2 linked regions of the Arabidopsis thaliana genome follow. The protein of the gene in region 2 purifies or fractionates together with the protein of the main gene of each other region. This does not show direct contact. Each region holds a gene or a part of one and is shown on either strand. Other genes may lie near its edges.

Region 1 (5,303 bases), on a different chromosome or scaffold from region 2:
CACTTGTCCAAATTGTCCTCTCATCGTAGTCCTTCATTATGGTCAACTTCCCCCTCTCTTCAACGTAGGTTGGCTGAAAAGTAAGTAGATGAGTTACCAGATGAAAAGTATAACCAAATATTGCATCATCAAAAAACATTTATGTGCTGTTGAGACAACAAGAAAGAAATAATATAGGTCCCGATATAAAGAAAGACTGGCTTGAAGCAGAAATAAAGTTACAAGGAATATCTACAAAATGATGAGTTCATTTACCCCAGGTTCCTCTAGTGGATCTCTTAGAATCAGATGGGAAGACATGCATGGCATATCTCTTTTGCTAATAAGGTCATGCGCGACTGGGGAATGGAAGTTTTGTGGTGAACTATTCCCAACTTCTTTTCTTTGGCGCAGCATCTCACGAGAACCAAGGATGGGGCTAACAGGAGAAAATGGAACATGTGAGGGTGGATTCACTTCACCAGCTTGCTCAAGAAGTAGACCACATGGTAGAGGCCATATTGATTTGACAGTACGCATTAGTGGAACAGATACAACTTCGCCTGTTGCCAACAATTGCCAAAAATCAGAAAGTAATTACCTCAGCTAGTGTTACCTCAGAAAAGAGACAAACAGTACTGATTAATCAGATCTAGTCAACAAGTAAAAAGGAATACGCAATATATTTCCAAGAGCAGATGAAAGGAAACTAGAAATAGAACGGCTAAAAGTTAATCAATCAACTTGAACGTTCAAAAAGCTATCAATGCACAGAAAGCTACCTGAAATCTATTCTTCATAAACCGATTCCATAAATTTTCATTTGTAATTACACAATTTCAAATGAATCATAAAGAAAGGGACCAACTATGTGCACCAGTATGAGATTGTCCTTTCGTTAGAAGCAAACCATATAAGAATCCATTAGGGTATAATGGAAAAAGTCGGATAGTGCAGAAATATTATAGTTCAGAGGTATCTAGCCACAATTACCTGATGTGTTGTAGATTGTTAAGCAAGCAATTTGTAATACACAAAGAAAAGCTTCTGTCCCTCGACCAAGGTTGCTCCAGCATGCCTATGACATAAAAAAGCTATGAGTTAAAACAGTCTTTCTGACGCATCAAATAGATGGAAAATATTTTTGTCTATGTTTTTGTTAATTCATGTGGAACAGATAACGTATCCACCAATACAACAGAAAAGCATTGTTAAGACATAGCTAGATTTGTTTAATCAAGGATTGTCACAGATAAGAATCCATAGATTTTCAAACGGGAAAACTTGAGAGACAAAGAGCCAAAATTCTAATGGAAATCACCTTAATGACGGCAGAAGACAAGGTAAAACGCTTGAGGACCCGCGAACCGCTTGTCCAGATTATGCTATCATCAAATCAAAATTTCATCGTCAGGTACAGAAACGAACCGCAATTCAGCTAGATACGTTATACCAATATCCAATGAAATTAGCTTCTACTAAAGCATAACCCTTACGGACATTACTGGAAGAAAGAGGCAAACTTGAAGAATAGGAAAACACATTCGAAATTGAAGTGATAACAAATTCATGAAGTGGTGCAGAGTTATAGAGTAATCAGCAAATTGTATACATTTCTTACCAGTTGTCTCGGATGAAGAGCTCGTGCTCTCTCTGCCGCGAGAAGTTGGCATCATTGCCATCAGCATCATCTCGCTCGCCAGTGAGCTCAGGATCGAAGAGGAAATACTGATAGGAATCATCCGGTGATTTACCATCAGTAGCTTCGGCGATTAGACCGAAAGGTTTAAACTTTCCGAGGACGGTAAGTTGGCGAACCCCTGGAGGCATTTTTTCTCCGAAGCCAACAGGCAATGGAGATTGGTGAAGTTTAATTTACACTCTCCCGCTCTTTCCAAGTTGTCTTAGCGCTTAAACCCTAGTCTTTTCTATTTTCAAAATTTTATTTGAGATTCTCATTTCTCTTTAAACCTGCGGGTCGAAATCGTTTTATGAAAAGTAAGCGAGACAGAGGAAGATAACATTGAAGAAGAAGAAGAAGAAGAAGAAGAAGAAGTGAGTAGGAAGAATTGTCACTTACATTAGAAACCGGATAGAGAGGTTTCAAACGAGTTCCGATGATTGTCGAGGCTCTAAACTGAACGGAATGAAGAAAGTGAGGTTCAAAAAAGTATCGAAAGTCGGAAGATTTCGCTTAGTGAAAGAGAGATGTTCTCAGAGGAATTTAATCAAACACTTTCTGTGCTAGATGCAATGAAATCTGGGACGAAGTCTGAGCTTATGAAAGACAAAATTTAAACATTGGAAAGAAGTAAAACTTGAAGGCTTAAAATGAAATAAAACTAAAATATTTCCAACTATTTGCTATTGACCCAATCTGTCACTTTTAGAGGTTTATTTATGTAATCTTTTTAGTTTGAGGTTTGTTTTGGGATAAATGAAAAATTATGAGGTTTTTTTTAACAGTTTAATCATAAGTACTAACGAGACCAAAGAGATTGGTTCGGTCTTAACGGATAATCGCCGTTGGGACCAAAACGCTCCAATACGGTCAGTGACGTCACCGCCGGTCATCAATGTCAGGCCACACTTATCCTCTTCTCTCCCATTCCGGTTTCCTCCCACCAAAAAAAAAAAACTTCTTTTTATGTTTTGTTTGTTTCTATTCCGATCTTATCCTACGCCGTCACTCTCCTCCCGGTGCGCACATTAGCAACACTACTCCCGACGAATGGAGACGACGACGCCGCAGTCAAAATCAAGTGTGTCCCACCGACCGCCGTTGGGAAGAGAAGACTGGTGGAGTGAGGAAGCGACGGCGACGCTGGTAGAAGCCTGGGGCAATCGTTACGTCAAGCTGAACCACGGAAATCTCCGGCAGAATGACTGGAAAGACGTCGCCGACGCCGTTAACTCTAGACACGGTGATAACAGCCGTAAGAAGACCGACTTACAGTGTAAGAACCGGGTCGATACTTTGAAGAAGAAGTACAAAACAGAGAAAGCTAAACTCTCGCCGTCGACTTGGCGTTTCTATAACCGCCTCGATGTTCTAATCGGTCCCGTTGTGAAGAAATCGGCTGGCGGAGTTGTCAAATCAGCGCCTTTTAAGAATCATCTGAATCCAACTGGATCGAACTCTACTGGAAGCTCTCTTGAAGATGATGATGAGGATGATGATGAGGTTGGTGATTGGGAATTCGTTGCTAGGAAGCATCCTCGTGTGGAAGAGGTAGATCTGAGTGAAGGATCAACGTGTAGGGAACTAGCTACGGCGATTCTCAAGTTTGGAGAAGTTTACGAGAGAATTGAAGGGAAGAAGCAACAGATGATGATTGAGTTGGAGAAGCAGAGAATGGAAGTGACAAAGGAGGTAGAGTTAAAACGAATGAACATGTTGATGGAGATGCAGTTAGAGATTGAGAAATCAAAGCACCGGAAACGCGCAAGTGCTTCAGGTAAGAAGAACTCACATTAGGTTTTCAAGTTACTAGTGGTGGCTTAGACTTTACATGGTTGTTACTCTTTCTCTTTAAACCGCATAATGTATCCGTGGAAGGACCTTAGATTTCAACAACAATGTTATACCTATGCTGTTAGTTGTTGTAAGCATGGATGAGGCTGGTTAGTAATTGACTTATTGTTGATATGTGAAAGTCATGTGCCTCTCTGCTTTTGAAGAATACCAATTTTGTCAATATACAATTCAGTTGAGCTTCTGTGCTTCCAGTGGTCTGGCAAGGAAAAGTCTAGATAGCATTCTCTTACTTCTTTAGCTTCTCCAGCTTCGTGGAATGTTGAACTGGATTAGGAGGAGTAGACTTCCAGGTTTGAAATTGAGAAAAAAGATCAATGTTCATAGTAGTCGAACATTCTTCATATGGTAATGAGTTCACTGAAGTTTGATCTGCCTTTATTGTACAGGTAAGCAATTGTAGAATTAGATTGGTGGAGGAAATACCATGGTGAAGCAAAGAGGAGTTACTTGAATCTGAAGCTCATTGAAATTGGAGGATCCTGTTACTTGTTTTAATCTGTAGGATGGAAGTTAGAGAACTCTTTAGGATGTCTTTGTTTGTTTTCTTCTACTTTCTAGCGTGTTAGTGTACATTGGTGTACTGGAGCAAATCTTCCTTAACTCTTTAGTAGCTGACAAGTATGATCTACATTTGTGTTAGTGTCCACGTATAATGATGGCTTGTGTATCCAAACTACAGCTTCTGATGCTTAACAGTTACATGTTTATGCTTCTTCTTGGGCTTTTTCATGTCTAAATTTTTATCATAACCACTTATCATAAGATATATATAATACATCCACAAGTATGCAGTTGCATCCGAGTATCTTAAATCAATAGTCTCTGAGTTCTTTAACCTTTAAATTGGCAAAATACTATCCAAGGTTCATTAAGGGCATCAACGATGACCAAACACAAACTAGAGTCACAGTGAAAGCAATTTTCAAGAATCCGGACCAATTATCATCTTATCATTTTGCTTTGAGTTCTTGATTTTCCTTGATATTATCTTCTTCGTTTGACATTGCTTCTCTGTTTTCGTCTGGACAATGGTTTACACCTGCGTCTATCTCTGGTCCCTTTAGAATGATTTTCTCTCTTCCGTTTCTTAGAACTCGCATTATTCTCCTCTGCTATGACTTCCCCAACCAAATCATCTTCGACCATTTTACGAACGAGAACATATAATCTAGGTTCTGATGAACTCGGCTCTAGAAAGATCTGTTTTTGTGACAACCCCCTCGAATCCTGTAAGAGAAATACATAGAAACTTGTTATATCACCACCATCTGTGAAATAACCAAAGATATGATGCTAAATTACCTTTCCAAAGTCTCCAGCAATGTTTTCAAATGCTTGATTTGCTTCTTCTGGACTTTTAAAAACAACAATCGCGCTATAGTAGTGACGGTCTTGTTTTTTCGACGGCTGCCAAAAGAAAATCAAGAAACAACGAGAGCCTCATAAAATACAGAATTTGGATAAGAATATGTATATGTTGAGTGGATTCATACCTTAACTTCATGTGGGATATCCCTGGAAACGACTCCATTTAACTCTTCATATGGAACATTGCAAGGGATTCTATGAAGGTAGAGCTTTGACTTCTCAGCTTCCAACATCTATATGGAATTATGCAGACAAAACGTTATGCTTTTATAAGTTTAGATTGAACTAATGAAGTTTGTGCAATCCAACTTACCTCTTTAGATAGTGGAACGGAGGTCTCTGCTCCATTATCTAGTATAGCAAGTACAAGTTTCATTGCAGCTTCTGCATCATGAACACAATTGTGTGGAACACCTTC
Region 2 (4,149 bases):
GAACCAAACTCAGGTCTCGAGGAGAAATTAAGCTCTTGCTCCTTGAAAATCTCTCTCGCCACCGAAGAGCTTGAGACCACAACGCACTTAGAAGCACCGAGACGTATCTCCATGAGTGGGCCATACTTGTGAGCTAAACTTTGGAATGAGACAGGCAATACTTTGCCTATCAAATGAAGGTGGCCAATGAATGGTAAAGCTGGAGGGCTCTGTGGCAGCTTCGTAGCAGCCAATGAACCTTGCTCTTTCAAGAACCATTTGAAGAGAGCATAAAGCATGAAAGGAAAAGCTAAGGATGTGATGAGAATAATTAGTTTAGTGTTTAGTTTTAAATCCATTGCAGGCAGGTATTGATACAATTTTTGAAGTATGCTTGTATTTATATCCAGACACAGACGAATCTTGTTTATTAGATGCTCATTGTAAAGAAAACAAAACAACAGATGTGACCTTTTACCAAATATAAAATGTGTGACGTAACATATATGAAAATTGTTTGATGGGAATTAAAAAAAAAAAATGATTAGAAGTTTTTATTATTCGAAGGCACTTCCTAGATTGTGACAATTACAGATACACACATACAAGAACATCTGCAATTTCTACCAACAAACCAAACTTCTGTACAACTGTTTAACTACAATATCCTGAATCAAGAAGACATCCTCATCATACAAAAAGCCTAAAAGTAAAAGGGATCCAACATAAACCCGTGAACTATCTAACAGTTATCTCCCATATGATATATCATCAGAAGATGAATTTCTTCTTCTTTTTTATCATTAGAAAAATGATAGAATCTCCCTACTATATATCATCACAGAGATGATTACCTCTTTCTAGTGAATCACCAGAGGATGATGAATCATCATCGCATCGACATTAGCGTCCTAACTCTTTTCTCCCTTTCTGCTCTTTTAGCACTAGGAGTGCTCTTCATTTTCTGAATCTCTTCCATCACAACCTTCTCCACTTTATCAATAGAGTTGAGGAGCTTCTTCTCTGGAGTGAGGGCATCTTCTTCCCCTGTGTTTTCTCTTGTGATGTCGAGCAAAATCTGATGGACTTTAGCAGTTGAGGGTGGCCAAGGACGCTTGAATCCAATAGATGGACCGGGAGTAACCATAGAATAGTCGTGCTCGAGATGAGCACCTGACAACGGTACTAGAGAATCAAGAACCCCAAGTTGTTGTGGAGTTGGGGTCTCAATATCTCGGCCAACACCTTCTCCCATACGAGCTCTCCTTCTCTCAATAGCCTGCATATAAGAGTTTGTAAATAGCCAGACTAAGCAAGCCTTTTGGTAACAGGTTATGACTTATGATATAGTTAACAAAGAGGCTAAGCAAGCCTGTTACAGAAGACTAATCTAGCTTATAAGCAGCAGATTCTGAACCAATATGCAAATCACAAACCAGATATAAACAGATCACAAATTAGCTATATATCAATGAAAAAAACTCCAGTTAAATCTAAGAATAAGCAGACAAATCCAAAATGAGACTAGGTTTAGTGAACTAACCCTAACAACGGCAGAAATATCACGGAGGGGCGTTCTTGGATACCAAGAAGGTAAGACAGAATTTGAAGCACGAGCCCTTCCACGCCTTGTAACACCCAAGCTCATGTTCTCTCGTCCCTGTGGCGATCTAAATTGAATTTGACCTCTTCTACCACCACCAGTCCGCCGAATACCGAAATTACCCCTCACAAGCCCACCTCTTCCCGTCATAGATCCTTGACCAATTGACCCAAGTCCTCCTGTAGCTTCCGATGGCACTCTCTGAACCGGAGACCCAAACAAATTGTGCTGTGTTGCTGGTTCGTCAAGTAAAATACCATGCGAGCGTCTATTGAGAAATGCGGCTGGGTAATCAACTTGCCTCTCTATTCGATCTCGTGCTTCTGGCATTTGTGATTGAGCGCTGAAGAAATCAAACAACTATGCCATTAGAACACACCCAAAATCGAAATCGCAACATTAAAACCCAAGAACTCAGTCTTGTTCTCCATTGTTAATCAGATTTTCTCGAAACCTCATAAACAACAAGAAAAAGAGATCAACTCTTCGTTTTCGCAACAAATCTCCGTCACATCACAAAGAACCTACTTGAACAAATCAAACCATGGATTTACCTATGAATCTTCAATAGATTCCTTCGTGATAGCTCGGAATGGCTTCGTGAACGGTAAAGTGGAGGGGACAAAGGAGAAAAAGAGAGAAAAGCTTTTGAGAGAGAGACGATCTGGCAAACAAAATTTAGACCATTTTCTAGGCGGGTTTTGTAATTGAAAATGAAAAATTTCGAGCTCGCACGTGTCAAAGTGGTTTCACCTGTGTGAAATATTTTGAATTTTTCATCTCACGCGGGATAAATTTCGTTTTTTTTCAAAGCGCACATTGTCACAATTCGTCAAATTCTTTGTCAGATTTCAATTTTGCCCTTCTGAATAAAACTGGGCTTGTGGCCCAATTCTATTTACGTACGCATTGCTTTCAAGATCGAATCCTCACCGTTAATTGTCATAGGATCCAACCGCTGCTTTTTACTAATACCAGAAAACCGGATTGGCTAGTTGGTACGGTCTAATGATACGATAACTTGCTCTGATTATACGAAAACACTCATCAAGAACCAACTCTAATTAATGTTTTCTTCTAATTATAGTTAAAACGGATTGAACCGGACAATTCCATAATTTTAGTCGGCTTCCGGACAGGCCTTCGTGGGTTTGGAATTTGTGGCCGACAATGTATTGTCGGTTTAAGACTTGTTTAGGGTGTATATATAAGACTGTTGAACGAAAAAAAAAAAAAACTCATCGACTCGATCAAATTCTTAAGACGACGATTACGGAGAACGGGAGAGAGGTAATAGAAGAGTTTTTCGTTCCGAATTTTGTTTTGTTTCATTGATTTAATTCTTGGAATTTGGGGTTTGTTTTTCCGATTTGGTGATGACGAATTTGGGTGGTGGTGGTGCGGAGGAGCAAGCCAGGTTGAAGCAGTATGGGTACAAAGTCAATTCCAGTCTTGTTCTTAACAGTGATGAGCGTCGTCGTGATACGCATGAATCTTCTGGTGAACCGGAGAGTCTCAGGGGTAGGATTGATCCGAAATCCTTTGGAGATCGTGTCGTTAGGGGAAGGCCTCATGAGTTAGATGAGCGGCTTAATAAATCTAAGAAGAAGAAGGAACGTTGTGATGATTTGGTGTCTGCTCGTGAGAGCAAAAGAGTTCGTCTTAGGGAGGTGAGTGTACTTAATGATACGGAGGATGGTGTTTATCAGCCGAAGACTAAGGAAACAAGGGTTGCTTTTGAGATTATGCTTGGTCTTATCCAGCAGCAATTGGGTGGGCAGCCTTTGGACATTGTTTGCGGTGCGGCTGATGAGATTTTGGCAGTTCTTAAGAATGAATCCGTCAAAAACCATGAAAAGAAGGTAGAGATTGAGAAACTACTAAACGTTATTACTGATCAGGTTTTCAGTCAGTTTGTTTCGATTGGAAAACTGATTACAGACTATGAAGAGGGTGGTGATTCTTTAAGTGGTAAAGCTAGTGAGGATGGAGGACTTGATTATGATATTGGTGTTGCCCTTGAATGTGAAGAGGATGATGATGAGAGTGATCTTGATATGGTCCAGGATGAAAAAGATGAGGAGGATGAAGATGTTGTTGAGCTTAACAAAACTGGAGTTGTCCAGGTGGGTGTGGCAATAAACGGCGAGGATGCAAGACAGGCAAAGGAGGATACGAGTCTTAATGTTCTGGATATTGATGCTTATTGGCTTCAGAGAAAGATATCTCAAGAATATGAGCAGAAGATTGATGCACAAGAGTGCCAGGAACTCGCAGAAGAGCTGCTTAAGATACTTGCTGAGGGTAATGATAGGGATGTTGAGATCAAGCTGCTTGAGCACCTTCAGTTTGAAAAGTTCAGCCTTGTTAAATTTCTGTTGCAAAACCGTCTTAAAGTTGTGTGGTGCACCCGTTTGGCTAGGGGAAGAGACCAGGAAGAGAGGAATCAAATTGAGGAGGAGATGTTGGGGTTAGGTTCAGAGTTGGCAGCAATTGTTAAGGAGTTGCATGCCAAAAGAGCAACAGCCAAAGAAAGGGAGGAGAAACGGGAGAAAGATATCAAAGAA

What was found.
Region 1: the proteins of UVI4 (region 2) and EMB2771 purify together in Arabidopsis thaliana (affinity purification with mass spectrometry, with the first as the bait; one large-scale study listed by BioGRID). This does not show direct contact.

What each region holds. Positions count from the first base shown.
Region 1 is NC_003076.8:1,637,958-1,643,260, reverse strand, and holds the start of EMB2771 (E3 ubiquitin ligase), read right to left. Parts: upstream 2,711-5,303; 5' UTR 2,060-2,710; intron 1,951-2,059; 5' UTR 1,810-1,950; coding exon 1,601-1,809; intron 1,365-1,600; coding exon 1,301-1,364; intron 1,058-1,300; coding exon 973-1,057; intron 543-972; coding exon 256-542; intron 74-255; coding exon 1-73. Other genes in the region: AT5G05550 (sequence-specific DNA binding transcription factor), read left to right, coding at 2,711-3,437, 3,710-3,732; SDN2 (small RNA degrading nuclease 2), read right to left, coding at 4,502-4,744, 4,820-4,924, 5,011-5,118, 5,199-5,303.
Region 2 is NC_003071.7:17,601,372-17,605,520, forward strand, and holds UVI4 (uv-b-insensitive 4), read right to left. Parts: upstream 2,335-4,149; 5' UTR 2,137-2,334; intron 2,087-2,136; exon of another isoform or gene 1,926-2,086; 5' UTR 1,913-1,925; coding exon 1,523-1,912; intron 1,259-1,522; coding exon 869-1,258; 3' UTR 501-868; downstream 1-500. Other genes in the region: CYP712A1 (cytochrome P450, family 712, subfamily A, polypeptide 1), read right to left, coding at 1-338; AT2G42270 (U5 small nuclear ribonucleoprotein helicase), read left to right, coding at 2,959-4,149. UniProt on the Arabidopsis thaliana protein: Negative regulator of the anaphase-promoting complex/cyclosome (APC/C) ubiquitin ligase required for proper mitotic progression and cell fate determination; inhibits premature cell differentiation.